4 linked regions of the Oreochromis niloticus genome follow. The protein of the gene in region 2 interacts with the protein of the main gene of each other region in a pairwise test. Links are inferred from orthologs where the notes say so. Each region holds a gene or a part of one and is shown on either strand. Other genes may lie near its edges. The genes, in order: map3k3, glrx3, moxd1l and trim36.

Region 1 (7,661 bases), on a different chromosome or scaffold from region 2:
ACAAGGAGGGGTGACTGGCCCATTACTGTGACTGATTTAGTGAAGTAGTCAAAAACTCTTTAGAGGTCGAGCCCCTGGAGTGGATGAAATTTGCCCCGACTTCCTTAAGACTCTGAACTTGTGGCTGTCTTGTTTGACATGCTTCTGCAGCATCACTTGGAAGTTTAGGGCAGTTCTTCTGGCCCTTTGTTGCAGATTCTGTTTATGACTTTTATGGATAGAATTTTTAAGGCATAGCCACATGGCAGAGGGCTTCAGCTATGGCAGTCTCAGGATCACGTCTCCGCTCTTTGCAGATGATGTGGTTTTTCCGTCCTAATCAGGCAGTGATCTCCAGCGTAACATGGGTTGGTTTGCAAGCAAGTGTGAAGTAGCTGGAATGAGAACCAGCACCTCCAGGTCTGAATACATGAACCTCAGCCAGAAAAGGGTGGAGTGCCGACTCCAGGCCAGGGACGAGTTGCTGCCCCAAGTGGAGGCATTTAAGTAACTCGAGGTCTTGTTCGCAAGTGATAGACACACAGATTGGCTCAGTGTCTGTAGTGATCAGGGTGTTTTGGTGAATAGAGGGCTGTGTTTGAAAGCACAGATCTACATTCCTACCCTCACCTATAGTCATGACCTCTGGGTAGTGACCAAAACAAATAATGAGATTGCAGTGGAAATAAACTTCCTGACGCTCTCCCTTATTGAAAAGATGAGGAGCTCAGTGATTTGGGAAGGACTCACATTAGAGCCACTACTCCTCCATATTGATAAAAGCCAGTTGAGGCGGTTTGGGCATCTAACTAGAATTCCTCCAGGTCCCATCCTAGGAAGGTTTTTTTGAGCATGTCCAAACTGGGAGAAGGCTCCAGGGTAGAAAAAGCATACACTGGAGAGATAATGTCTTGGCTGACTTGGAAATGCCTCAGCAGTCCCCCAGATGAACTGGAGTAGGTGACCAGGGAGAGGGAGGCTTAGATGGCTGCCCACGCAACCCGAACCCGGATACACGACAGAAAATGGAACAGAATGGAATGACACACATGCTCGAGGAAGATAAGCTATTAAATTTAGTAAGCACAGCTGTTATATATTCACTATGGAATATGAATTTAAATTTTTTCTCAATTAAAAAGGTGGAAAGCTGGATGGCATTTTCAACCCTGACTGATTAAGACAAGAGGTCACAGACAAGTCCTTTTTTAATGGAAACTTTTAGAAAATATTAGCAACTACAATCTATATTAATTTTCAATTCCCCCCAGCTTTTTATACCGTCAATTTCTTAGACTTTATTCAACTAATTCAGCAAAACAAATAATTTCAAGGACATAGCCTATTCAATAATGATAATAATAATGATAATAATAATAACAATAATAATAATAATAATAATAATAATAATAATAATAACAACAACAATAAAACCGACCCACGTAAATAATTAGAAAAGCTTACATTTCTGTTTTTGGCAGACAGAGCTAAAAAAAAAAAAAATATTTCAAATATATAATCCCGACACATTTTTTCCCTGTCGACTGAACACAGCGCATTATTTACACCTGTCACTACTCTCAGGTGTAGCTCACAACCCTCACCTGTAGTCTCAGCAGGTCAGGTCAGGACCGAGGTTCTCCCGCGTACAGCCGACTGGTCACCGTAGTCTAGCGGCAGGAATGACGCAGTAGGTCCAGCTGTTGTTAACGTCCATTAGTGTCCTCGGTCAGACCAACACACCAAAGAGTGTGAGTGAATGTAAAGGTGCCATCGGCGGGGCTGACCCCCCCAGGTACCAGGGCTTGTCTTCTTTAACGGAAAGTTAGATCACACACACAAACCGATTCTTTCCAGGTTGTAAAAACAAGCACGGTCACATGAGGCAGCTGTAAGCCTCACAGAGAAAATGTTCCGATGGGAAAACCTACATCAAACAGCTCCAGCTGTGGCCCAGAGGCAAACTTTTGCGCCGTTGTAGCCTCGGATCCTTGGAAAACTTAAATTTCCAAAACATCTTTAGAAGTCACACTAAAAATCGATGAATTTAGAAATGTATTCAGAGCCGTGTCCCATTACAGTGTTAAATACGAACAAAAACTGCCAAACCAAAGTGTAACAGTAACCGTATGGCCTGTATGAAATCCATTTGTGGGTAGCAGCTCGCCAGAGGAAAGACCGTACGATTTCCGTGATTCTGATGGCCTCTCTTCCTGCTAAGTTTGCAGATTTCCCTCGACCGTGGTTCCAGGTTTGAATCCAAAATATTCTAGGCAGAAGATGTTTTTATTCTCATTGCTGCATTGCACATAACTGCATCGCATTGCAACGTGAATGATGATATAAACATAATCAGGCAAGAACACACGAAGGCCGATCTGGCCTATAAAAATGTGCAGATGAATTTAATTGAGAGAGCACCGAGCTGAGTTCAGACTTAAAAATAACACAGACTAAAGGGACATTGGCAGAAAAAAGTACTACCTTTGAGTTTATTATATACTTTAACCAGATGCGTTATGTCATGCGAAGCCAAGTAGGATAAAGTCCATCGATGTTTAGACTTCGCAGGGCTGCAGACTCTAAAATTGTAGATCCTGGAGTATTCATATAAACAGCAAACTGATATTTAAAAACAAACAAATAAACAAAAAAAAAAAACATAAATTAGACGAGCTCGGTCTGTTTTCAGCGACAGTAACAAAGATGTCGTTTGTTGAGAGGAGCCAGCGGTCGTCCACAACTTTTCCGAACCAAAACAAAGCAAGAAATAATCTTCAGCTGAATACGTCAAACTTCCTGACAGAAAAAATATCGCCACCGGAACCAGCTTTTATGCTTCCAACAAGTCATGAAAACGGCTCGCAAAGGTTGTATCCATGTTTCCCAGATGCTTCACTGTCCGCCATCCAAACGCTGGTAATAACGATGATTTATTCCCGGGGGGATTTCTGACTCCTAAACTATCTAAATTAGAGCCGTGCAGCCGCGGGGACGCGCTGTTACTCGGTGGAAGTCTTCTTTCTGGAGCGCGCACAATATTATTGGAGGGGCGGACCAGCTGTGACGTCGTGAAGCGTTTGCTGCCGTGAAAAAGAGTTGGAAAATCCGAAATTCACAGCTTTTAACTTAACAGTCCTCATCCGTCTAAGTCATCCAATGTTTTCCTTTAAGAGTGAACAATAACGTGCATTCCCTAATTGAATTTAAATGACACGTTAGAATAATCTAACGTGAAGTATTTGAAGTCAAGTATTTTCATTTTATTTTGGTTTCAGCAGTACTGGACCTGGAGGGAGTGGAATACTTATGTAAAAAGGTCAACGGGTTGTACTTCATTATATCATAGGATTATTGTTGCGCGGCATGTATTTGAAACATTTATTGCGCAGTGTAATGCAACAATTATACAATATATGCAATTTATCTAAAAGAATCAGAAACACGTGTGCGCGCGCACACACACACACACACACACACACACACACACACACACCAGTCAAAGGTTTGGACACACCTTTTCATTTAATTGTTTTTCTTTATTTTCATGACTATTTACACTGTAGATTCTCCCTGAAGGCATCAAAACTACAAATGAGCACATATGGAATTATGCAGTAAACAAAAAAGTGTGAAATAACTCAAAACGTGTTTTATACTATAGATTCTTGAAAATAGCCACCCTTTGCTTTGATTACTGCTTTGGACACTTTTAACATTCTCTCGGTGAGCTTCATGAGATAGTCACCTGAAACGGTTTTCCAACAGTCTTGAAGGAGTTTCCAGAGATGATGAGCAGTTTTTTGCCCTTTTGACTTCACTCTGCGGTCCATCTCGTCTTAAATCATATAATTTGGGTTTAGGTCAAGTGACTGTAGGGGCCAGGCAGCAATCCATCACTCTCTTTCTTGGTCAAATAGCCCTTACCGACCTGGAGCTGTGTTTGGGGTCATTTTCCTGTTGAAAAATAAATGATGGTCCAACTAAATGCAAACCGGATGGGATGGCATGTCGCTGCAGGATGCTGTGGTAGCCATGCTGGTTCAGTGTGTCTTCAATTTTGAATAGATCCCCAACAGTGTTGCCAGCAAAGTCCCCCCACACCACTATATCGCCTCCTCTGTGCTTCACAGTGGGGACCATGCATGTAGAGACCATCCGTTCACCTTTTCTGTGTTGCACAAAGACACTGCGGGTGGAACCAAAGATCTCAGATTTAGACTCATCAGACCAAAGCACAGATTTCCACTGGTTTAATGTCCATTCCTTGTCTTTCTTGGCCCGAACAAATCTCTTTGTTTGTTGCTTTTCCTTAATAGTGGTTTCTTAGCAGCTATTTGACCATAAAGCCCTGATTCGCACAGTCTCCTCTAAACAGTTGATGGAGAGATCTGTCTGCTGCTGGAACTCTGTGTGGCATTTATCTGGTCTGTAACCTGAGGAGCTGTTAACTTGGGATTTCTGAGGCTGGTGACTTGGATGAATTTATTCTCAGCAGCAGAGATGACTCTTAGTCTTCCTTTCCTGGGCTGGTCCTCATGTGAATCAGTTTCATTGTAATGCTTGATGGTTTTTGCCGCTGCACTTGGGGACACATTCAAAGTTTTACCAATTTTCCAGAGTGATTGACCTTCAGTTCTTAAAGTAATGATGGACTATCTCTTCTCTTTACTTAGCTGATTGGTTCTCGCCATAATATGAATTCTAACAGTTGTCAGATAGGGCTGTCAGCTGTGTATTAACCTGACTTCTGCACAACACAACTGACGATCCCAACCCCATTAAGAAGGCAAGAAATTCCACAAATATACCCTGACAAGGCCCACCTGTGAAGTGAAAACCATTTCAGGTGACTACATCATGAAGCTCATTGAGAGGCCAAGAGTTTGCTGTGCTGTCAACAAAGCAAAGGAGTGGCTACTTTCAGGAATCTATAATATAAAACATATTTAGAGTTATTTATGATTTTTTTCTTTGCTACATAATTCCATATATCTTGCTTCATATATTTGAACATTTATATATTCAAAATCTGTGACTCAGCATTTTGAGTCTATTTTGTATTTTTGATTTCTTATATTATATTGAAAATTAAGTTCTTGTGTTGTTGTTATTATTAGTTAGGATTTAGTTGAGTTTTAATCTTGTTTTTGTTTCACCTACATTTCCTGAGTTATGAGTCTTTTTCTGTCCTCTATGTAGTTGTCTTGTCCTTAGTGTTTTACCTTTAGTTATGCCCGTGCTCTCATCTCCTTTATCCATTCTTATGTGTCTCTTCTGGCGTTCCATGTCTCCCTAGCCTGTCATATGTCTTATGTCTGTTGTGTGTTCCATATTGCCAAGCTTGTGCTGTCATGTCTACATCTCTCAATGTTTCCTGTTTTATTTTGAAGAGTCGGGTGTTTCCATGTTCATTGTGTTTTGTCATTATGTTCATTCCAGTCAGCTGTTTTCCCATGTGTTTCCACTTCCCCTGATCACCTCTTGTGTGTATTTAGTCTGTGTGTTTTCGTTCAGTCTTTGTCAGGTTGTCTGTTTTCCTTCCTCCACATCAGGTTTTAAGTGTTTTCCATGATTCTGTTCAGGGCATGTTCATGTTTCAAGTTCACGGTTTTTTTTTTTTGAGGGGTCCTATACCTTCTCTCATGCTCCTGCTCATAATCATGTTCATGTTCTCTTTGGTTATAGCTGTTATAGTCCAGTCTTTTCAGTTTAGGTTTTAGTTTTGTTTTCGCTACTGTTTGTTTTGCTTTGGATTTTGTATTCATGTTTTTCAGCCAAATAAACGGCTCACTTTGTCTTAAACTTAGTTCGTTTTCTCCCGTCTCTGATTTTGGGTCCGTTCCTTTAACACACCGGCTTTGCAGCCGTGACAGTTCTATATTCATAATCAGAATACTTTGTTAATTCCAGATATTTTGTGGTCAAAGTTGCTCCAGTAAGAACAGTAACTAACTAAGCCACATTCAAAAACAAAATATATTACAAAATATTACAAAAAAGCTGTAATATAAATCTAAATGTTGCAGAGGAAGATGGGCAGTACTTTTCACTGCACTGTATTGGAATATAAGTGTAGTGTATCAAGTACTTCAAAGTTGTACTTAAATGTAACCAATTACCTTTTGGATTACTTCCATTACAGCTAAACTTTATTAGATTGAAGTATTTCACCACAAATAAAATGCAAATAAAGACAATGTAAAACTCAGTGTGTTAAATCAACACCAGCATTTTATTTATTTATTTTTTTCCAAAAGCATGTAAAAAAAAATAAAAACAAAAATATGCACAAATGATTGTGTATATTGGCGTAGAAAGAGGGCGCTCACATTTTAAAATGTACCATACTACAACTAAGCAAGAGAGAGGAGGAGGAAGAGAGGAGAAAGACTGCATACAGTCCAAGCATCCTTTTGCTGTAAGGCCACCTCAATCCACAGGTCATGTCTGTAATATAGAATACACTTTCAAAGATGCATACATTTAAAATGTCTTGATGACAACGGCAATAAAAAAGGAATTCCACATCAAGTGTAGCACAGAAATGAAATGATTCACAGATTTAACAATAAAACGTCACACTGCAATCATTCACCTGAGCCTTGTGGCACCAGTGTAAAGTGTACCTTGTCTGCTCTATTAGACTTGGACATTGCAATTCACAGATTTTGCAGTTGTACCTTGGCGAACTGCTAACAGAGAATGACAAACACAGCATTTTTAGATACAATTCTCTTGATTTTTAAAGCATTCTCTGGGATCCAGAGGGCCGTTTTAAAATGACATAAAGAAAACATACATGTTCACACATAGTAGAATTAGAACTTTTGTACATGTGAATAAAGATGGTTAGGTGGGGAAAAATGGCTGCTGGTTGAGTGAAGTAATCCTTTGTTAAAGAGTTGGACTCTACAATAACCAGATCTGTTTTTAAAAAGGCATGATCACAAGATTTTGTTGTAAAGATCTGTGCATTCAAAGGTGTTTTGAAAAAGCAATAAGGTCAGCTCTTTGTCTTCTAAGGCTTCTCTTTAAAAAAAAAAGTCCATCTGTTTTGCTTCCTATTCTGCACAACAAGCTCAAATTAACAGTAAACCTTCAGTCACAGAAAGTACTTTGTGCCATTCAAGTGTCAGTGGTATTTTCTAAAATGTGATGATTTAATGGCTTTGGAGTTATCCTTTGTACAGAATGAAATAAAACCATGGAAATCTACACTGAATTAATTGTTCTTACATGTTAAAACTAAATAAGATCAAAAGAAGCTGTTGGCTCGGCTAGCTGCTGATCCTACTCAAAAACTTGAAAATAAAAGGCTATACTCAAATCATGGGCAAGTTATAGTTTTATCCTCTCATGTGAGATGCTATTGTCACACTTTTCCCAGCAGGGGGTGCTCTGCACTGGCTTTTGCATGCAGCCACACATCAAGGTGCCCATATATGTGACAAACTATCCATCCATCTATTGTAACATTGTAACATTTATATTAAGAAATAGGTCCAGTTGCATTTAGCAAATAAGACAGGAGAACCAGAAGGCATTAACTGAAAAAGGACTCAGGGGTTCAGGACAGAGTGACTGGATGTTTATGTCGCTATAATACAGCTTTTAAAACTTCATCACAAGACAACAACAAGCTGACAAGCATGAAATTATGAAGCAACACACTGTGAGAC
Region 2 (6,789 bases):
ACGTGCTACAGTTATGAGCCGAGTTACGCGTGTAGCAAGTTTTGTGAGGTGCTTTTTTGATATTTAATGGATCGGATTACATTTTTTATTTCTCGCCGATATCCAATCCAGTAATTTAGGTCAGTATCAGACCGATACCGATACGTAATATCGGATCGGTCCATCTCTAGTATATACAGGTGTTAGAGAGACATTTGCCTCCATCCAGATGACATTTTGTTCAGGGAAAGCCTGTTTCAGCAAGATGATGCTACACTGCATGCTGCATGTATTACAACAACAAGGTTTATTGGAGGAAGTTCCAGGTGCTGAACTGGTCTGTCTGCAGTTCAGACCTTTCAGCAAATAAAACCATTTGACGCATTATGAAAAAAAAAATATGACATGAGCCAGCATGGTTGCAGCAGCTGGTCTCCTCAGTTCCCAGATGTTTATGGACTCTTGTTAAAAGAAGAGGGAATCCTCCACAGCGGTAACAGAGTCCTAGATTTTAAGGCCATGTTTTCTTAGCTTTTTCTGAGACATGTTATTGCTATCAAATTTAAAATGAGTAAACATTTTCTCAGTTTAACATTTTCAACATGTTTTAAATGTTCTAATGTGAATAAAATACGGATTCAGGAATGAAATTGCAAATTATTTCATTCTGCTTTTATTTAATTTTTACATAGTTACCAAAAATTTTTGGAATTAGTGCTGTACTTTTATATTTCTGACTAATTTTCAATCAACAATTAATCGAGTATCCATGTTTTTGGGGTGCAGGAGCAGGGCGGTGTACTGCACTGGGAGAACATGCAAACTCTCACCCCAGTGCTGGTTGTGACTCTGGCATTCCTAGCATTCTCTCCCATGCTGGACACCATTTGCTGGACTGACATCTATATGAAAAGATTCAGGTACAGAATGACCAAGATGAAAACATTATTAACAGAAACCAACAGAGGGAATATTGCATACAGACGTTAAATTCAAAGCAGAGAATGTGCTTCCACTTCTCTGCTACATGGCGTAATAATTAGTAGTAATCAATAATGGACTAATAACATCGGTTTTCTGAGTTGCTTTTCATCACCCTTTGGTTATATCTGAACCTTTGCATGTGACATTGGACCATAAATATAACTTGAGAAGATAAAGCAGACCAACCTGTATTTGCTGGGGATCCATGATGTTGACAGGGAGGTTGAATGTGCCAAGCATTACGTAGCTGTTAGCGTTGCGATCATGTGGAGGCACTTGTGATGTTCCCTGGGAGGAAGAGGATGGCCCACTCTCGGCTGAAGAGCCTCCTGACCCTGAGCTGGGCTGTGAGGGTGGAGGGGGCGCTCGCTCCACGAGGTGGATCACTTTTCCACCCACATCTGGTAGAAACAGTCATATGCAGTTACACATCTCCAATCATACTTCAAGAAAATATTTTTTAAAAAAAGCATTTCCAACACACAGACTCTACTTGAATGCACTACTAAATCTTTCAGTTAATTACACATAGCTGTTAAATTCTTTTTCAGCAATGGCCCACATCATCAACACAAATCGTTTTAAAAAGCAGCAGAAACTCTTAAACACCATAGTAAATTTCAATTTATCTGTAACCAAGTGTAACCAAAATGTTAAGAATTCATTCTCCGTGTAATACCAAATACCCAAAAACGTATTTCCTGCTTTCCAGGAGGAAGTACAAAGACCAACAAGTAACAATCTAGTTCTGCATTTCATTCTTTATTTACTTACTGTAGTCTGCCAGAGTCCTTTCGTCCTGCAGCACTCTGCCCTGGTAGATCAGCCTCTGTTTATCCACCGGTATACCCACTGATGGGGCAATGTGCTCCTTGAACTCTTTCACCGTCAGCTACAACAAAGATTGAACAGACATGAGTAACACCACAGGAAAGATGAACTAAGAATAAGAATTTCCTCCTGAGTTTGCACCATGCATGTACTTACCTGAGCGCCAACAGTGTAGGTTCTGCTCTGGGAGTCTAATGTTTTCACCGTCACCTCTATGTCAGCAGTTTGTTCTTCCATTGTGTTCCTGTAACAGAAAGATGTATTTTCCATTTATAGCTCAGCTGAAACTGGATTCTTAGGGTAAATATGATGACTGTTATGTGAGAGTTTAAACACTTTGCTAATTTGAAATCCTCTCATATTTCTTTCTTAACATAAACATCTATTTTAAACATCTCTGTGAGATGTGAAATGGAACATTTGGGACTAATTAGGACAATTTACAGTATAAAACAAAGACTCTCACTTAAATTATCACAAACATATCTTTTGTCATTTGATACTTGCTGACTCAAAGGGTCCGTAAAAACCTGATGTGCCGGCCAGTAATTACCAACTGATACTGCTCCTACAGCTATGGCCAATGATAATGTTTATTCTCAATTAATGTGTTAATAATTACTCACACGGTCTATAAAATGTAAAAAGAATATATGAAAATAGCTTCAAAATATTGTGGTTGTTGTAACTCATAGGTTAAAAAAAAAATATTCAGAAATGTAGAACATATAGGAAACAAAACACTGTGTGGACCTACAGCAAAATTAAAAAAAACAACAAAACCACCATAAAATGTTAACTACAATACTTTTATTTTCAAAAATATGTGCATACTCTTGTAATAATAATTAACAATATTTAACTATTATTTATTTACAGCAATTTTTCTCTACTAATGTTTTCTCAGTTATCTTCCTCTTTATTGGTGGACCACTCATGATGTTGTGGCACTAATGTGGCAAAATACTATTTCCTCACTTATCATTTTAAATGTTAAAGTTCATGATAGTACATTTATTAAAAGACTGAACAAGTTGACAAAAGGGCTGCCACAGCCATCTTTCTCTTTAAAATGAACACAATTAGATTTGCAAACTTGCATCTAAACAAACTACAAAACTTTTGGAACAGTGTTTTTTGGACGGACAAGACAATTGTGGAGATAATTGGCCATAATACAAAGTGCCAGTGGTTTAAACCAAACACAGCATATCAGCATAAACGTCTCATACCAACTGTCAAGCAAGTGGTGGAGGGGTGATGTTTTGGGCTTGTTTTGGAGTCTAGGATGTGGGCACCTGCAGTCAGTGAGTGGATCATAAATTTCTCTGTATGTTAAAGTATTCTAAAGACAAATATAAAGCGCCTTGAGGCGACTGTTGTTGTGATTTGGCGCTATATAAATAAAATTGAATTGAAATATGAGGGCATCTTTTCAATAACTAACCCTTGTGTACAACAGAACAGCTAAAAAAACCCCCGAAAGAGTCAAGGTGTTGTAATGAGCAAATCAAAACAAAATCTAAAGTTCATACTGCAATCTGATGTAATGCTGTGACAGGAGAGCTTTGTATAAATGAATGCCCGCCAACCTCAATGAACTGAAGCATAAACCATGTATAAAGAAGAGTGAGACTGATAATATCATACAGATAAAGATTACTTCAAGCTGATGCTGGTTAAGGTGTTTCAATAAGCTACTGAATCATGTGTGTACTTAGTTTTTCAAAGGACACATTTACACAGAACACACATGCTTTGTGATCAAGATCATGCTAATAGTAGACAATGTAACACGTGGGAGAAGATGATGTGAGAGACTGATAATGTCTTACAGAAAACCATTACTTCAATTTAATGATGCTAAGGGTGATTCTACAGGCTACTGAATTATTGGGAGCCCATAGTTTTGTTTTTGTTTTGTTTTTTTAGACACTACTTCTGCATTTTGAGTTAATTGTTGTTAAACTTTAACACAGTGTCATATGTCATATAAGTATGTTATAATTTTCAGGCGTAGTAACAAACTAGTTATTATCACCGGATTTGAAAAGCCTTAAAAATAAATAGAAGATGCATTATGCTTATACCATGGCAAGGATAAGGTGTGTATTGTTTTCCCTTTCATTTCATTTGAAATGTTTATCTAAAGAATATTTTTTCGCCACCATCTTACTTGTCTTGACAGCTACGCAGCATATGGATTTATAAAGAAAATAGTGCCGTCCGCAGGTGCAGAAAACTTCACAGAGTTGAATGTTCCTCAAAACCAGCAACAAAAACACGCAGCAGTTTTTTTCGTGCAAACCACCGATGTAAAACCGAAGGACACAGCTGAGTCTGATCAGCGAAACACTTGCTCGTGTTGTTTTGGAGTTTGCGTGCTCGGTAACAGCGTAATGTTGAGTAGTTAGCCGAGGAACCGAGGCTGCTTCATGCTGGGCCAGACACCGACGTGCACTATCTTTATTTAAACTCTTTTTATTAATTTAACTCTTAGAACAGTGGTATTTGACTCTATTTCTATTTAGCAGAATTTACGTGTAACAGTAGCTTACTTAACCACCAAAGGCTTGCTAGCATGAATTAGCTTTGCTTAACTTGGAAACCTGGCAGACGTCACGAACGAAGCTAACTTTGAGCTAACTAGCTAATGCTAAAGCTACTAAAACGGAACGTTAAAATTAGCTTAGCAATCCGAAACAGAGTGAAATTCGTTTTAATTAAGTCTGTGTCGTTAAACAGTTACCTTAGAAGTTACTATCCTCTCGACTTATCCAGTGTATGCAGCTGTTTTCTTATCATCAGCTAGCATGCAAACGACTTCCCTGTAGCTGCTCTGGTACTTGCCAGAAACTGCCAGGCTACGCGGATATGACGTCTAGGCGGCACCGGAACCACTGCGCGTGCAGAGGGTGAAAGGAAAGAAAAATGGCGAATCTCGTGGAGGCGACTACTCAACAGCAGTTTGAAGATTTCTTAGCCAAAGCTGGAAAATGCCTTACCGTGGTGCATTTCCAAGCGGCGTGGGCTCCTCAGTGTGGCCAAATGAACGAGGTGATGGCCGAACTGGCCAAAGAACATGCGCACACTACGTTCGTGAAGCTAGAGGCGGAAGCGGTCCCGGAGGTGTCGGAGAAGTATGAAATTTCCTCCGTCCCCACTTTCCTTTTCTTCAAGAGCGGAGAGAAAGTGGACCGCCTGGACGGGGCTCACGCTCCGGAACTGACTAAGAAGGTGCAGCGCCTCGCGGTGAGCGAGGGACCCGGTGGAGCCGCTGAGGGCAGCGGCGCAGATCTGAACCAGCGGCTGAAGAAGCTAATCAACGCCGCCCCCTGCATGCTCTTCATGAAGGGGTCACCCCAGGAGCCCCGCTGCGGATTCAGCCGACAGATAGTTGCGCTGCTGAAAGAGCACAACATCCAGTTCAGCAGCTTCGATATCCTGTCCGATGAGGAGGTCCGACAGGGGCTGAAGACGTACTCCAACTGGCCCACCTACCCCCAGCTGTATGTGAACGGGGAGCTGGTGGGAGGACTGGACATAGTGAAGGAACTGGCTGAGTCCGGAGAGCTGGAGAACACCTGCCCGAAGGCTGTCACCTTAGAGCACCGACTGAAGACCATCATCAATCAGAGTCCAGTCATGCTGTTCATGAAGGGCAACAAAGAGGCTGCCAGATGTGGCTTCAGCAGGCAGATACTGGAGCTCTTGAACGGTACCGGGGTGGATTATGACACCTTTGATATCCTGCAGGATGAAGAAGTGCGGCAGGGGCTCAAGACTTACTCTAACTGGCCAACCTACCCTCAGCTCTATGTGAAAGGAGAGCTTATCGGTGGTTTGGACATTGTCAAGGAGTTGAAGGAGAGTGGAGAGCTGGTATCAGTCCTGAAAGGGGAGTCGTAGATGGATCTGCATTGGCTATCTGAGGGAGGGAACAAGAAGCTGCTGCACATACCCAGATTAGCTCCAGTAACCCTGCAGAAGGGTCAAAATATTCTCTAGTAACTAATTGTATTGTAGCAGGGGGATAGATTCACTCTAATTACAGTCAGAAATGAAACTGCTGTCAACAGTAAGAATTTACATCTGTTTTTCTTTCTGGTAATGATTGTTACTGGAAAGCTGGGCTTCTAGAAATTCTTGAAAATACATCTGAAGATTTGTTTAACATGACATTTAAGTAAATACTTCTTGCTGTCTGATTCTTGGAAAAATGATGACGTTAGTTCACAATATCTGCATTTCTTGGGATTATAGCTTTCCTTCCAGTGTTGACAGCCTCACACTTCAGTATGTTATGTAGACTTTTATTTTCCTACCCAGGCCAGCTGCTCACTGTTCACACCGTCCTGTCTGCACATTCTCCACCTTTAAAGTCCGAAAAGCTGTTTTTAGCTCTGTGCAAGGATCACTCTGGTAACAAGCTATGTGTGTTTGTCGGTAAGATTACAATTAAAAATTAAAACAACTTAAAGTGTTTTTTCCCTTTATTGTTTAATCTGTAAGCATTTACTCTATTCACCCTGTAAGCATTAGGAACCTGAGGAGACAACTGTTGTAGATTTTTTATTTATTCAGTTGAGGAGACAATACAATAAGAGACGAGCCACCCTGTAACAATGAAGCAGCTACGTTGAAGCGTAAGATTTAACAGCGAGGTAATAGAACTAATAAAGTCTGGCCAAATATGTGTGATTCTACTGAGTGGTAGAAGAAAATTACCACTGTTGCAGAAATCCTTTGTTTACAACACAGTTTCAGGGATGGATATAGGTTTCTACATGGTATGGTTTTTCACTGATGCGAAACAACACCATCATGCGTGCTGGCTTTAAACTGTCCTCTGACACTAATCCCTTATGGCCCTTCTTTTTATCCAGGAGGATTTTGATTGGTTCAAGGACATTTTTCCACTTCTTAGTACAGCTTAACTGTGCAACATTTCTAGTATAAGCCTCAGATGCAAAAGCTTAGAGACCAAAATTCAGA
Region 3 (7,833 bases), on a different chromosome or scaffold from region 2:
CTGTGGTGACTGCTGCATTTTTTATTAGTTTAACATCATTTATTTTATTTTGTTAAGGATTACTTAAAATAAAAAGCAGATGTTATGTTATTATTCTCAGTAGGATTTTTTGCATATCATAACCTATATCTAGAGTAGAGGGGGTATTTAACTTCTTAATTTTACGTACAGTTTATCTTTATACACACTCTGCTTCACGTACCATTTCCGGTACTCCTAAAAGAACACTCATTAGGTCCAAATGCGAACAATACCATGAGCAAAATTATCGTGTTTACAGTGCTGCAGCTACATTTATGGCCCTGTAGTCCTCACCTAAGGTAAACAGTAGTCACATACTATATGGTACGAACAGGGTTTTGAGAAAAGACTGCAGTTCCCAGAATTCCGCGGAGGCAGCTATGACCCACACTGGAAAGGTAGTAAAATGTCACAAGACACTTCGTTAATTAGACACATTTTCCATGTATAGCAAAAGCATTCGTTTCTCGCTGAGCGCATACAGATGTGCGACAAGCGGCCATGACGCTTTTAAAGCAGACTCCCTAAATGCTTTCAGTCTTAATGCGGAGCTCACCGAGTGAAGTCTTCACTGTAAAACTAATGCGAGAAACTACAGTCCTAACTGTCCAAGTCTACAGCCCTCAGTATTGGTGAAAAACAAGCTCCAGGGGGAACCCAAGAAGCCAGCATAGTCGGGCTGGGGGTTTAAAAGAAGCCCAGGAAAGTTGTCAAACCCACCTTTTGTGCCATTATCGAAGCATTGATCAATCATTACAAAAACAGGCCCTGTGGTTTTCAGGATTTCCAACCCTCAGCAGGACATTTCCTCCGCGTTTCTCTTCAACTGGAGGCGAAGAAAACACGATAACTCCCTCCGGTGGAAAGCCGCCGCGACAAAGGAATTAACACATGACTTAAAAACAGTAGGTCGTTTAAAAACTCAAAAAATCCGAGAAAACGAAAGGTGGGAAGGAGACCAGCTGAGTGCGACTACCAAGTTTGAAGCGCGTAAAGAGCTGCTGACAGTACGGAGGAGGGAGTGACCTGCAACACGCACAGAAACCGGAAAGGTAGTCCAGGTCCGATATGGTGGCTCCTCCAGAGAGACTACACGACTGTTTAAAATCGCAAATAATTTATTTTTTTAAATATGAAGAAATAAAACACTTCATAATTAAACAACGATTAAAAAAAAATACAAAATATATATAAAACGTGGTAACTTAAAATTTTTAACTTGTCGGGAAAAAAAAACAAGTAATAACAATAATAATGAAAATAGTAGTAGTAATAATAAAATTTCTACTGTTTGCGGGATTTTTTAAATTTTCCAGTGCGTTTTTTAATTGTGTGTTTACTCACTATGGGGCTGACAGCTCAAAGGGAGTGACCCTGAACCTAAACTTATGTTTACTCTTTTGTTTAAGTCTCCCTCTGCTGGCCTCATTGTGCAAGTGCGTTTTAAACCGAGGTCTGTATTTGCTATCCCAGTGGTCTGGATCGGATACAAAAACCCACCTACTATTTAAATTCCTACACCTAGACTTTTTTTTTTTACTCAAATGCTTCAATTTATTGTATTTTAACAAATTTCCCACGTGTGGGACTAATAAAGGTTATCTTATCTTATCTTAAGTTTTTATTGTTGGTGGGTTTTTTCTTAACGTTTTCAATAACAGCTCAAACGAGCCTCTAGCAACTCCCCACTCACTCTTGAGACACAGGATGTGAGGCATGTGCAGTGAACCCCAGGAAAGCTGCAGGTCCTGATGGAGTACCTGAGAAGGTGCTCAAGGCATGTGCCAAGCAGCTAGCACAGGTCTTCACTGGCATCTTCAACCTGTCTCTGGAACAAGCCGTCATCACATTCTGCTTGAAATCTGCCATAATCACCCCCATACCTAAAAAGTCACCCATAACCAGTCTCAGTGACTGCCGTCCAATTGCACTAACCCCTGCCATCACCAACTCCTTTCCTGAAACTGGTTCTGGGGCACATCAGAACCTGTCTCCCACCCGCTCTGGACTCACACCAATTTGCATATCAGACTAAAAGATCCACCGAAGACACCATAGCCATTGCTCTCCACACAAGCACTGAGTCACCTGGAGCAACATGAGAGCTATGTCAGAATGCTCTTCACTGACTTCAGCTCAGCCTTCAACACAATAATACCGGACATTTTGATCACCAAGTTAGCCAACCTGGGGCTCCTGCCACCCACCTGCTCTTGGATAAAGGACTTTTTGGTCAACAGACCCCAGCGGGGGAAACTGGATCCTCGCCTCTCTTCCCCCCACACTCTCAGCACCGGCTCTCCCCAGGGCTGTGTACTAACCCACTACTCTACTCCCTCTACACATCTGAGTGCAGTCCTGCCCATCTAGAGAACACCATTGTTAAATTTGCTGATCACAGGGGGAAATGAGGCAGCCTACAGAGATGAGATCCTGAAACTGGGAGAATGGTGAGCATTAAAGAACCTGGCACTTAACATCACCAAGACCAAGGAACTCATCCTGGACTTCAGGCGGAACAGAGCTGCCCCTGCCCCCCTGCACATCAATGGTGAGCGAGTGCAGTCCTTCAAATTCCTTGGCATCTACATCTCTGCAGACCTCTCCTGGTCAGTCAACACCACAGCGCTAGTCAAGAAGGCCCAGCAGTGGCTACACTTCCTAAGGGTGCTCAGGAAGGAGCAACTAAACACCCCACTGCTGGTGACCTTCTACATATCCACCATCGAGAGCCTGCTGACCTATGCCGTGTGGCACGCCAGCTCCACGGAGGCAGACAGGAAGAGACTGCAGAGGTTGGTAAACACAGCACAAAAAATCATTGGCTGCCCTCTGCCCTCCTTGTCTGCCATCTATAACTCCCATTGTCTCAGCAGGGCCAGATACATCTTGAAGGATATCACCCACCTCAGCTACCATCTTTTTAACCAACTGCCCTCTGGCAGGCACTTCAGATCCATATGGACCAGAACAAACAGACTTAGGGATAGCTTCTTCCCCAAAGCTATCACCATACTCAACTCAAACTTATAAAAGTAATTTGCACTGAAATATCTGCACTGACCACTGCACCATTAGAGTGCTCATTCTGATGCTCCTTGGACTCTAGCATGAACTTATGTCTGTGCTTAAAATTGTCGGCGCTTAAATTGTCCGTGTCATTATTCTCTGGTTGTCTGTCTCTGTCACCCAGTGCCGTGTATTTATATTATGTGTATACTTATATTATTGTAGTTTTTTATAATGTGCTAAGCACTTGTACACTTTTATGGAGCTGTTTTAAATCTCGTTATACTGTGCATAATGACAATAAAGGCTTTCAGTTCAATTCAATTCAATTTTTGATGCCTGACAGTTACAATTATCTTTTATTTTGTCTCCTGATTTCCTGGGTTATCATTATTGGTAAAGACTTACAGCACTGTGTAAAAGTCTTTTTTTATATTTTTCTCAGAAATTGCAGTGAAACAAGTGCAAGCATACATAGAAATACAGGACAAAAGGCAAAAACAGAGCTTGTACAGTTCTAATGCGCTTGAACCTTTATTCTTTAACACAGCCTGAACTCTCTTAGGTAAGCTTTCTTTTGATTTTTAAGTAGTCTTCAGAATTAGTTCTCCAGACCTCTTGAAGGACATTGAATGCTGTTCTTTCGCCGCCCTTTCTTTCGTTCTCTGTCAAGATAATCTCACACTGCTTCAAAAATGTTGAGCTTCGGGCTCCGGGGAAGTCAGTTTCTGTGATTTTCTATCCAGATATACTTTTACTGCCTTGACAGTGTGTGTTGTCCATCAATCAACCCACTGTCCTAAACAGAAAGTCCAACAAACAATAAATTCTAGCATGCAACAACTTCTATGAATGTTTGTTTGCAATGATCGGTGCTGTCAATTAGTTTATCACTGACAATGATGACGATCACTAAAGAAATCTTCCTCTGTCCTTATGCGCTCAAGTTAAGAAAATATTGCATATGTTGGTAATAAAAAAAAAAAAAACTAGACTGTGCAACTGAACCTGTGAACAGGATGAGTTGCACAGTAAAATGACCAGAGAAGCGTTGTGTGTAAGAGCACTTGAGTCAGTTGTTACATAAGTTGTACTTGAAGTGATAGCTGAAGTGTTTTCCTTAAAATATTAGATATTTGTTCAGCCAGAAGAAGAAGAAGAATCTCTCTGAAATGTTCGCTAAAGAATATGAGACGGTTAAAGATTGCACACTGTAAAAAAATAACACATGAACAAAGAAATAAACCTAAAACTTTTGTATCAGGATCTGAGTGCAGCACTCAGAGAATAACTACACAATTCACATTCCTGCGCCATGAAATTATTTTGGCTTGACTCAAGCCTTTGATATATGAGAATGTGACAGTAGGTGAGAAGAAAGTATTATAACTTTCACTTCTCCTTAGCACCGATTCATATATCAATCACCTGAGTCTGCCAGTTATAAAAAAAACAAAAAAACAAAAAAGTGGAGGTGAAATCTTCAGCCCACCCGTGGACATTTTAGTGCTGTATGAAAAGCACTGTGGCTGGAGACTGCTAGTACATAAAAGATTCAATTACAGATTTAATACTAAGGCTTTAAAGAAGCTGAATTTGAAACTCATTTGTGAGTTTTTACAAGGATGAGAATGTGACAGGGAGCACAGAAAGCCCAGTTTTTATTGTTCAGCAAGGGCAAACAGTAAATGCCTGAGCACTTTTTTTTCCCACTATCACTTGAGCTGATCTCGAAACGCAGGTGTGTCTTTGGATGGTGGGAGGGAGTTTGGCAGCCCCGCTAGTATTCAGCTCAGTTTGAAGATTTTCAGCTTTGCAGAGACATCATGTGCTCTCTGCTTCCCTTTTTCTCCCTGCTACTGATCTGCGCAACAGGGTCATGGGCGATGGATGTCACAATGCCCTTTATGGAGTACCTGGACCAGGAGCAACTGGTGTGCCTGAAGTGGGGCTTTGACAATCCCGTTGATGACATTACATTCCAGCTGGCAGTCAACACCACAGGCTGGGTGGGTTTTGGTTTGAGCCCGAACGGAGACATGAAAGGATCAGACATCGTCATAGGAGGAGTTGGATCCAGTGGAAGCTACTTCTCGGTTAGTTATGAAATAATAACAAATCAGAACCTGTTGTATTTTTACTTATGATAAAAGTTAGATAAACAGCTGAATGCTTTCATCCTGTTTAATTTAATTTTGTGTTTTGGTTTTCTTTTCAGTTTCATATCAGTTGTTTTAGTTTAGATTCTATTGAAAATGATTCATTTTTGTTTAGTTTTTAGATTTGCACAGTTTTAGTTTTTAGTGTCACTATGTCATGTTCGGTATTTGTCAGGGACAGAAATAGAAAAAATAGATACAGCGGTGTGAAAAAGTGTTTGCCACCTTCCTGATTTCTTATTATTACATGGCCCTGTGTGAAAAAGTGATGGCCCACACCTTGTTAAATCACAAATTAACTGTGATTAACCACATTTTTTACAAAGCCACACCCAGGGATGATTACTGCCAGACCTGCTAAATCAAGAAATCACTTAAATAGAACCTGTCTGAAAAGCTGAAGCGGGCTAAGAGATCTCAACAAAACATATCATGATCCAAAGAAAAAGCTGAGAAACAAAGTCACTGACATCTATCAGTCTGGAAAGGGATATAAAGGAATTTCTAAGGCTCTGGGACTCCAGTGAACTATGGTGAGAGCCATTATCCATGAATGGAGAAAACTTGGAACAGTAGTGAAGCTTCCCTGGAGTGGCCAGCCTACTAAAATTATTCCAAAAGTAATTTTAGACTGATTGGCCATGACTCTTCCAGGAGGTCACAGAAGAAACCAAAACAACATCTAAAGAACTGCAGACCTCACTTGCCTCAGTTAAGGTCAGTGTTAAGGTTAGTGACTCCACTAAAAAGGGGGCTGGGCAAAAATGGCCTTCATGGCAGAGTTCCAAGACGAAAACCACTGCTGAGCAAAAGGAACATAAAGACTCGTCTCAGTTTTGCCAGAAAACATCTTGATGACCCCCAAGATCTTTGGGAAAATATTCTGTGGACTCATGAGACAAAATCAAACTTTTTGGAAAGTGTGTTACATCTGGTGTAAAAGTAACACAGCATTTCAGAAAAGGAATGTCATACCAACAGTAAATTGGTGGTAGTAATGTGATGGTCTGGGGTTGTGTTGCTACCTAAGGGCCTGGAAGACTTGCTGTGGTAAATGGAACCATGAACCATGCCGTCTACCAAAACCAAGTGAAGGAGAATTTCCAGTCATCTGCTCGTGACCTCAAGCTGAAGCACACTTGAGTTTTGCAGCAGGACAGTGATCCAAAACACACCAGCAAGTCCACCTCTGAATGGCTTAGGAAAAACAAAATGAAGACTTTAGAATGGTCTAGTCCAGGGGTCGGCAACCCGCGGCTCTTTAGTCCTTATAGTGCGGCTCCGCATGGTTTGGGAAAATAAATTAGAAGTATTTCGCTGAAGTGTATTTTATTTATGTTAGTTCTTTTAAACTTGTAGTTCTAAATTGGAAAATTATTGTGATATTGAAATATAAATATAAAATTATATTCTATTATTTTTTCCTCGCTCAATATAAGCGTCACACTCGCGGAAGCCGGTATTCCCGCCGAAACACCGTGCATTTATCGAGACTTTCAACCCCAGGTAGGCCAATTATGGATCTTCGGATCCACATTATGTCAGCAGCTCCACCGTGAAGTATGTTAAAGACAAACACTGCTCACGCCTCACAGACGACAGATGACAGCTTACAGTCCTGCGTAAACTGACTTCGCAGAGCACCGATTAGCAGACGCTGTGCGCAGAGGTTCAGGATCAGAAGTCCCATTGTAAACACATCACGGCAGACCCGACGATGTTTGCATGAACGCGCTTTTCAGCATCTCTTTATTGACCACTTTTCACACACAGTTGCTGTACGCATACAGCCGGCTGTAGCTTCGCAGCTCACAGCCCGACACACACCACCAACAACAGCAGAGAGCACAGACTTTAAGGCGGCGAGGCGTGATTGCGGGTGCCGCTCAGGTGCGTCCGCCTCCCCTGCAGCGGCGCTGCAGACCACGCCCCCGCCGCACGCATTAACCAGGTAAAATACATATTTAGGCAGAATTTTGCAAATATCTATTTTTCATTTTTCAGCAGCATAGAGCTTTTTTTACCAATTATTTTTTAAAAGTCAGGTCAAGGCTCCAAAAGCCCAAAGGAGATATAAGGGTGGCAGCTCACAACAGTTTTTGTTTGCTACATGGATCATTTTAGTTCAGCTGGGTGTCTTTGCTTTTGTTATATTTCTTTAAGAGTTCAAAATGTGTTGATTACATAAATAAAATGTAATTTTCTCTGTACCACTTCATGGATTTCATAAGCAGCACACCTTAGTTGTTCACACAAAGGTAGAAAACAATATATACAGTGTTATCTTCATTTTAGATGTCAAAAAGTATTTGCGGCTCCCAGTGTTTTCTTTTGTGTGGAAACCGGGTCCAAGTGGCTCTTTGGGTGTAAAAGGTTGCAGACCCCTGGTCTAGTCAAAGTCCTGACCTGAATCCGATTGAGATGCTGTGGCATGACCTTAATAAGGCATTTCATACTTGAAAACCCTCCAGTGTGGCTGAATTACAACAATACTGCAAAGATGAGTGGACCAAAATTCCTCCACAGCGCTGTAGAAGTCTCATTGACATTTATCGCAAACTCTTGATTGCAGTTGTTGCTGCTAAGGGTGGCCCAACCAGTTGTTAGGTTTATAGAGGGTAATCACTTTTTCACACAGGACCAT
Region 4 (7,707 bases), on a different chromosome or scaffold from region 2:
GGATTAATGGCTCTGCCACGTGACTGCAGATGAAGGCTGTGTCTCAGCAGTTGTTATTAGAGTCACCTGTTCTCTCCCGCGGTCGCATCGCAGTCCACTCTGTCCCAAAACAGGTGGACGACAGCTTTGTGCTTTTAGCTGCAGTGAAAACTGTTTTCTTTCCGAGATCCAGCGACATGTGGTCAAACCATAAACCCCTGCTTTGCCATCAATAAATATACATAATGTAATAATGAATAATGTAAGAATAAAGGTAATGAAATTTATTTTTTCTATGCTTTGTAGAGATATTGAGTGTAGATACACATGTAAATGTCTATAAATATGTGACTTCTATCGTGCAAGAGAAAACCAGGTTTACGGCGACGTGAGTGAGACTGTTAGAGGAACTGGATATGCAAATGTTGGCATGTGATGTACTGTTTGTCTATAGCTTTGAATGAAATGATGTTGGCTCTGGCTTGGCAGTACAAACTGTATGTATGGTAAATAAAACCTGTACTAACTGTCTGAATTGTTTTCTGTGGGTGGGTTCATGCAGCTTTTCACTTTAGATAAGTTGCACTTTAGCCTCAAAAGCTGGAGAATTTCTTTGGTACAGAAGTTAAAAATAAAGGTTAATACAACCTATAACGATATAGTTATAATAGTGTATAGCTCAGTAAAATAAAATTCAAAATGGCAACATATATTTTACTAAAGTAAAATCTGATTTGAAATCCAAATAAGGAAGTAAAGTATATGTTTAAATATAGATCTGTCCACCCTTTTTTTTTGCTATGTGTGTGGGTCCTGGGTGCAGGGTTTGAATAAACCATTAACATGAGAAAACGTGATTTTCAGATAGACAGATGTGTCACATGACCTATGAAAGACTTCCTGTATCTGTCCTTGTGGCTGAATCAGCCTGTCAGAGAAAGTTTCTCTGCTGCTGTCCAGTGCGTGCTGCGGAGGTGGTTAGGTTTGTTACTTCCACCAGAGTTTTCAGCCAATCACAAAGCCAGCCTTCCTGCTCCGTACACTGTGCTCGCTTCAGCAGACGGATAATGTCCATTTTGCTGTGGTTTGCAGCTTTATTAGTAAACAGAGCCTGCTCATCTTCCAGTTAAGCCTGTTGCCGTCATGGTTGCGTGGGTACACCTCCATCAAATCAACATTTGGTCCCAGGACAAACAAGGTCGTGTAGCTGTGCTCGTCGTCACCATCTCTTTGGTCTCATTCACAAGCAGATGATTCCTCGCAGAATGCGCCACAAAATCATCCACTAGTGCTCTATATTCCTCCTCTTTCTTATCACTAATACATCCAGCCACTGCAGAATCGTCAGTGTTTCTATAGGTGCCATGATCAGAGCTGTACTTAGAATCTGAGGTGCACAAAGTGAACAGGAATGGAGACAGCCCGTCAGCATGTCAGGCGATGATAAGCCAGTCTGACAAACTGTGGCCTGTCTGTCAGGAACTCTGTAATCTGGGAGATGGTGGACAAATCTACTGGCCCCTCTTGAAGTTTTTCCTTCAGTATCAACAGCTTCAGATTCAGAAAAAAACAGTTTAGTTTTGTCCCGTGAGGCCAGTGTGCATCATCTGCACAAATTATTGATTTTGCTTGTTAAAAACAGACTCATTCCTGGAGGTGAAAGGCCGTGGGGGTTACCAAAATTGTTCGAAAATGCAAATGATTATGTTCCAGATGTGCACCAAAAGGAAAAAAAAACATACTGTATATCCCATGTGTTTGTTTTTAATAGGAAAGAAGGCTTTTCCTCTTGTAACCAAAAATACTGATAGAAATTTCATATAGCAAGTAGCCTGTAGCTTTTGAAATGCCTTTATCTGCACAAAGGTGTGATAAGGAAATAAATCCTATCCCTGCCTCCCTGCCACTGAGACCCTCTTCCTATATGGGAAGTTTCTTCAAAAAGAAATAATTTCATAAGGAAACCTAGGCCTACAAATGCTTTGGCTTTATCACTGAAAGGACAAGATTCCTAACATGAATGAGATTAAAATGGGAGCAGCTCAAACATCCGCACTGCAACTGTCTTTCCCATCAAGCTCTGCTTGATTCTGAGTGGAAGCACCAGAGCTGTCAGCCTGTTTGGCCTCATAAAGATCCCAAAAAACTTGAACATTTTGAGCAGTCTAAAGCCTGGGTATACGGAGACATTATTTGAAACTTTGGCGATATTTATAATAAGCACCCACAACTGCAACAGCAATTACAAACAATCCACAATAACATCCATTGGCTGCTGCTTAAAATCCCTTCTCTCCTCCTCTTTAATCATTAGCTGCAATAAAATCTCACAGAAAGAAATAAAGCAAGAAATCCTTAAAACACAAAATGATCAGAAATGTGATCTTCAACTAGTCCTTTCAGAGTCAGTCCCTGTCCCCTCTTTGCACTAAAACATCAGTATGCACTCTCACCTGTCCACCTTAAAGGTCTTGGATCAGCCTCAGAATGAAAGCAGGACCAAGTTTGGATAAAAGTTTTGATCTTTGCTACGGTGGGGAGAAACGTGCTTCTCCTGGGTCTGACGGGTCACGGCATAGCACTTTTATTCTCACTATTGTGAATCTTGTCATCCCAGCTGTCATGCCAAAGATGGATTTCCCCTTGCTTAATGCCTCTTGGATGGAAGTATCTCATGCTAAATACTTCCTTATGGCAAAAAGAGACAAAGCAAGTGTTCGCTCCTTTGGGTGTTACATGATTCATGCTGCCCACAACAGCTGAGTTTCTTTATGAAAGGCTTTATTTCCTTTCACTGTGTCCTGCATATGGCTCGGTGACTCAACTGTTGTTGCTTTATTTTTACATCGAAAGATGACAGCTGGTCGGTATTTTCCCCCAATTTGCCTCAGTTGCCTTTCATGTTTCTACAGTGTGGATGGCTTGTGTAGTGAGTAAAGCTGGGAGTTGATTTTTTCCCCTCTGCTTTATTAGGTCAGTGACTGAAACATCATTAAAAGCTGAGGGGGAGGTGGGGCAGGGGTCCCTCTGGATACAGATCACATGTGCAAACATACATGGAGTCCCACCTGGGAGCTGCACAGCACAGTCACAGACTTCACTGTTGGCACTGATAGGGTAACACGAGCCAGGCTAATGGAGCCCAGTGGCACTGATATCCAATCTTTGGACATTATAAAATGTTAAACAGCAGTGGATCTTACATTTTACCCCCCACCCCCCAGAAAGCAATAGAAATACAAACATGAGGTTAGGAAAGTATTTTTACCCAAGTGATTACAGCCTAACCCAGACTGGTGATGTCTGGAGATATTCCCTTGGCAGCAAGTTGCAGCTGTGGCTTGGGTGGAGTTCATCAACACCTCTCATACTCCCACATGTATATCTGCCAGCAAAGACGACCTAATATGAGTCGGTAAACATCGCTTAATGCAAACTCAGTCGTCAAACGAGTTGTTTCTACTAAAACAAGTGAAGAAATGCAGCATGTTTACCACTCTGCCTTTCATGTGATATTAATGACTCATCTGGAACGATCACAGGCCCTTAGGTGAACTAATGTGTGCTTATAAAACATGTATTCTCTGTCAGTCCTACTTAGGGAAACACGTTAATCAGTGCTTTATATTGATTTTGCAATAGGTGTAGAGCACTGTGGCGTTTTATGGGGTAGTTATGTGTCATCTCGGGTTTATGTACATGACAACTAAAGCACTGCATCGCAGCAGCACGTGATGGATGGCCATAAACTCTGTTCCAGACATTAATGCCTCCTACACGATGAGTTCTTACTAACAGTGTGGTCATCCCTCAGGTTTTCCTTGCATGAGGGCCACATTTAGTTTTGGTGTGAGATTTTTCCACTGAAATCTGGTGAAATCTGGTGAAATCACATTGCCCTCACACAGAAGTTCAGCTTTGATAATCCCTCAATTTGTCCTTCTGTCCTCATCATCGGCCAAATGCAGCCTCTCACTGCTGTTTGTTCAGTCCACAAGATGATCCTAGTGACCTCTAAATCATTCAACGATGGGGTGCTCGTATTTTTATCGTAGTATTCTATTAGAAGTTCGTTTATGTACCTGCATCTTTAAATGGTTTTCAACAAAAAAAAGAGGTTTTTCGACTGATGCCAGCTGACAGTGATTGTCTCCGTGGTTGGGAGCCACTGGAAACATACTTAATAATTTTGTTATGCTTCGGTTGTTCGGTCAGGGCAGTCTGCCTGCTTGTCCCCCCTCCACATGCTCAATGGGGTGGAATATGTCTGCATGAAGCCATGCAGCCATCTGCCGACGCGGAACAAGTGGCATTGCCAGAAAAATTAAAAACACGAACTTAATCCGGCCTCACAATCCGGCTTTTTCTCCAAACCTCTCCACGTCTGGATGTGTCACATTCAAGGGCGGTTTTCAGCTTCCCAAACAACAAAATAAACCAAATATGGCATAAAAAGGCTACGTGAGTCTAAATGACCACAAGTCAGCCCATAAAGCGTCATGTGCGCACGTGAGTGCGCCGCCAGCCATGCGTAAAAGCCCAACTTGAATAAGCGGCACTAAATGATTTGAGACCCCCCTCCTCCCTACCCGACCCTTAATCTTCAGGCTGACATGATTATGATTTTTGTAGTGATTGACAGATTAAGGGAAGTCATTCACTCGGGGGGTGATAGATAGTAGATCAGGCGAATACAAAGAGCTGTGTGAGGCGAGACATCGCCGCCGAGGGATGATGTGGGGATAAGGAGGGAGATGGCACAGGAGGCTACAAAGGAGCGAGGGCGGGGTTTTTCCTTCCAAGATGAGGCTAACTAAAATTAAACTGCTGCCGGCGCATGTGGGCTACTGTAGTCTCCACGGACAAACCTAAGCCCGTGTGGAGAGAGAAAGAGGGAGGGAGGAGAGAGGATGGATGATGATGGGGATGTGGTCTGAGGAGCGGCTCTTCCCCTCTTGATGTTGTCTCACCTCCCCTGCGAAGCTCTGAAGCTTTTATCCTGTTTCTTTAACAAGCCGCAGCAGTTGTTTGCGTCATTTTTTTCCTGCATTTTTAAATATCGAGGTGCTCTCTTCTTCTATATACTGTGCATTCATCGTCATTACCACCATCATCACCATCATCTGTAGCCATGTCGGACTCGGAGGATATGACTGAGTTCGCCAGCATCGTGGAGCGGATCGAGCGGGGCGAGGTGAGGCTCATCCGCTCGGATGATTTATGGTCCTTCTGACAGCGGCGATCTGCCTGTCAACATGCTCCGACAGCAGCAGCAGCGCCGGGCCGGCCTGCAGGGCTGTCAGAGGATGGAGAGGCATGCTCATAGACTTCTATTCTTATCTGTTCTTTGTTGGTATCACACAATATCCTATTATATTGCGTTATATACACTACGGGTGCATGACTGAGTTATTAATGGGCCATATGCAACAGTAAGACCTACTGTATTCCTGTAGCACAAACTATTTTATTTTATTTTATTCTGTTCTTGTAAAATCTGTCACTTTACATTATTGCATTTCAAAAGTAGAGATTCATTCCCTCAATTTAACCTGATCTATCTATCTATCTATCTATCTATCTATCTATCTATCTATCTAAAAAAACATGATGAGTTTAATTAGAGGTTTTTCTGGGTGTGTTGCTGGTTACTGCTGCAGGGAGAACACCGACTTCTGTCAAAATGTGGGCCACTTGGCAGCAGCTGTGGTTTTGGTGAGACTGGGTTACTGAGGTGTGTTTGTGACTGAAAGGGGAGGGCTGGGTGGGTGTCTTTACCCATTTCATGCACTCCAGACTGACAGAATGTGTTGAAATGTATCTCTCCTGCTAGCACAATCTCTGGCATTTGTTCATGCGTGCACAGAGCTGTGCATGTGTTTCATGTGTGTGACAGAAACAGGAGAAGACCGTACAGGCGACTGACTCACACATGCCAGCCGCAGTTGCAGATCTCTGTTATAATTTAAGCTGGTGTCAGACCTGTCGTGGACAGTGGGTACTTTTATACCAGAGAATAAATAAAATTAGGAACCCAGTAAATCTATTAATGAAACAGTAACTGGAAATTCTTTGTTGAGTGTCTTTCTGTGAACAGCAGTACAAAAAATGCTGTAAGTGAGGGTAATGTGTCAGAACATTTCTAAGGCCTCTGTGAAACTGTTAAATTTAGTTTTAATAGATCACCATCCAATCTAAGAGGGCTGTTGGAGGGTGAATCGAATCCTAGAGGACCAAGTTAAACTCAGGACAGGCTCCCAGTCAGTCACAGGGTTGACATACAGCATACGACATAATGACATCATACAGGACATTTAATGTTGTCAAGTCTTTGGACTTTGTGAGGAACAGAGGCACAGGGAGAACATGAAAGTCCACAGTGGCAAAAACGTCATCATGTGACACAGCAGCAAGACGGTGCTGTCTGGCAGTGTCGCTGCAAGGCCCGAGCGTCTGCCAGCAACCAAACAAATGACTAAACAGAGTCCTAAAGTTGCCCTCTGTGCCTCCAGTGACTGTGCATGCAGAAGCCGGTTAATCAATTCAAATAACATGGCCACTTCACTTCTTGAAGGAATTACAGCTTCTCCTCAAAGCACCCAAGTTATTTTATGGTCACCTTTTGTTCTCTAACTGAAACATTATTGGGGTGACTTGCCAGGCAACCCTAGTGTTCAATAAAATAATTGCAGACCTCCGCAATAATCACTGCAGCAAGCAATTATAGACTCATAAATCCCCTAATGTAATGGGAAGGACCCTGACATTGTAACGAGCACGGCAGTCTCAGTTTACTGGCCCCCTTTGCTAATGGGTGTCAGTGTAGTAACCCAGTGGGAGGATGGACATACTGAAAAAGGTAGGCTGTTTTGTATTTTAAGTACTTTTGTAAAGCTTTTGAGAGCTTTCCCTTTAACTTCAAATTCAAAGTGCTGATAGGCACATGAAGACACTTTAATTACCGGTCTGTTCTCAGCAAGCCTTCACAGATTAAACACAACACTGCTAACACTGCTACTGTATCTGCAAACACAGCATACTTTTCCCCAATTCAATTCGATTGCAAACATTCAACATTGTCTCCCAAAAATCTCAACCTGGGCTGTCCCTCTGATATACAGTACAGTATTGTGCAAAAGTCTTGAGCCCCCCCCCCTTTGGACATTGACTGCTTTTTCACTCATTTTCAGTCCAGTCCTTGTACCTGATCATTTGTTTAGAAGAATGCTTAGTTTGTTAAGCTACCTAACACTGACCTATGAATAATTCAAACATAAAAAGGTAACTTAACTCAAGGGATGAATTAGTGCTGAATTAGTGTTGAATTAGTGCTGTGTCTATACATAACAGACATAACAGAACCACTTTTAAATTGTATCTTAAGGCACTTTGTTGTGCAGCCTTTCACATATATGTTCCCATTTCATTAGCTGAATCTATAGAAAGTGCCAAAAATAACATAATTTGATAGAAATAAAGCAGTATTTTTGCACCAATAATTCCCGAGGTGCTATTAGCCAAAAACTTGGCATATCTCAGCATGCTGTGCAGTGTGCACTTTAAAAAATTGAAGAAACTGGACAATTGGAGGACAGAAAAGGAAATGGTATGCATTAAAACATATGTACAGCAGATTAACAGCACCTGTGTGTCATATCCCTAAGAAACAAACAAAACATATCCAGCAAATATCGGACACGGGACCTGAGAGAGGCTTAGGATGTTCAC

The links.
Region 1: the proteins of glrx3 (region 2) and map3k3 interact in a two-hybrid assay, tested with the Homo sapiens proteins (2 studies listed by BioGRID and IntAct). The link is inferred for Oreochromis niloticus from reciprocal best matches to the Homo sapiens genes GLRX3 and MAP3K3.
Region 3: the proteins of glrx3 (region 2) and moxd1l interact in binary tests that used the Homo sapiens proteins (3 or more experiments, as listed by UniProt). The link is inferred for Oreochromis niloticus from reciprocal best matches to the Homo sapiens genes GLRX3 and MOXD1.
Region 4: the proteins of glrx3 (region 2) and trim36 interact in binary tests that used the Homo sapiens proteins (3 or more experiments, as listed by UniProt). The two-hybrid records come from large-scale screens. The link is inferred for Oreochromis niloticus from reciprocal best matches to the Homo sapiens genes GLRX3 and TRIM36.

The regions. Positions count from the first base shown.
Region 1 is NC_031969.2:28,854,304-28,861,964, reverse strand, and holds the start of map3k3 (mitogen-activated protein kinase kinase kinase 3), read right to left. Parts: upstream 3,001-7,661; 5' UTR 2,464-3,000; intron 2,249-2,463; 5' UTR 1,584-2,248; intron 1-1,583. UniProt on the Homo sapiens protein: Component of a protein kinase signal transduction cascade. Mediates activation of the NF-kappa-B, AP1 and DDIT3 transcriptional regulators.
Region 2 is NC_031976.2:36,170,297-36,177,085, forward strand, and holds glrx3 (glutaredoxin 3), read left to right. Parts: upstream 1-4,695; 5' UTR 4,696-4,725; coding exon 4,726-5,703; 3' UTR 5,704-6,274; downstream 6,275-6,789. Other genes in the region: large proline-rich protein BAG6, read right to left, coding at 810-881, 1,150-1,364, 1,738-1,855, 1,951-2,031. UniProt on the Homo sapiens protein: Together with BOLA2, acts as a cytosolic iron-sulfur (Fe-S) cluster assembly factor that facilitates [2Fe-2S] cluster insertion into a subset of cytosolic proteins.
Region 3 is NC_031980.2:9,793,780-9,801,612, forward strand, and holds the start of moxd1l (DBH-like monooxygenase protein 2 homolog), read left to right. Parts: upstream 1-4,827; 5' UTR 4,828-4,856; coding exon 4,857-5,126; intron 5,127-7,833. Other genes in the region: snx9b (sorting nexin-9b), read right to left, coding at 742-753.
Region 4 is NC_031977.2:21,326,984-21,334,690, forward strand, and holds the start of trim36 (E3 ubiquitin-protein ligase TRIM36), read left to right. Parts: upstream 1-4,697; 5' UTR 4,698-5,110; coding exon 5,111-5,173; intron 5,174-7,707. UniProt on the Homo sapiens protein: E3 ubiquitin-protein ligase which mediates ubiquitination and subsequent proteasomal degradation of target proteins. Involved in chromosome segregation and cell cycle regulation. May play a role in the acrosome reaction and fertilization.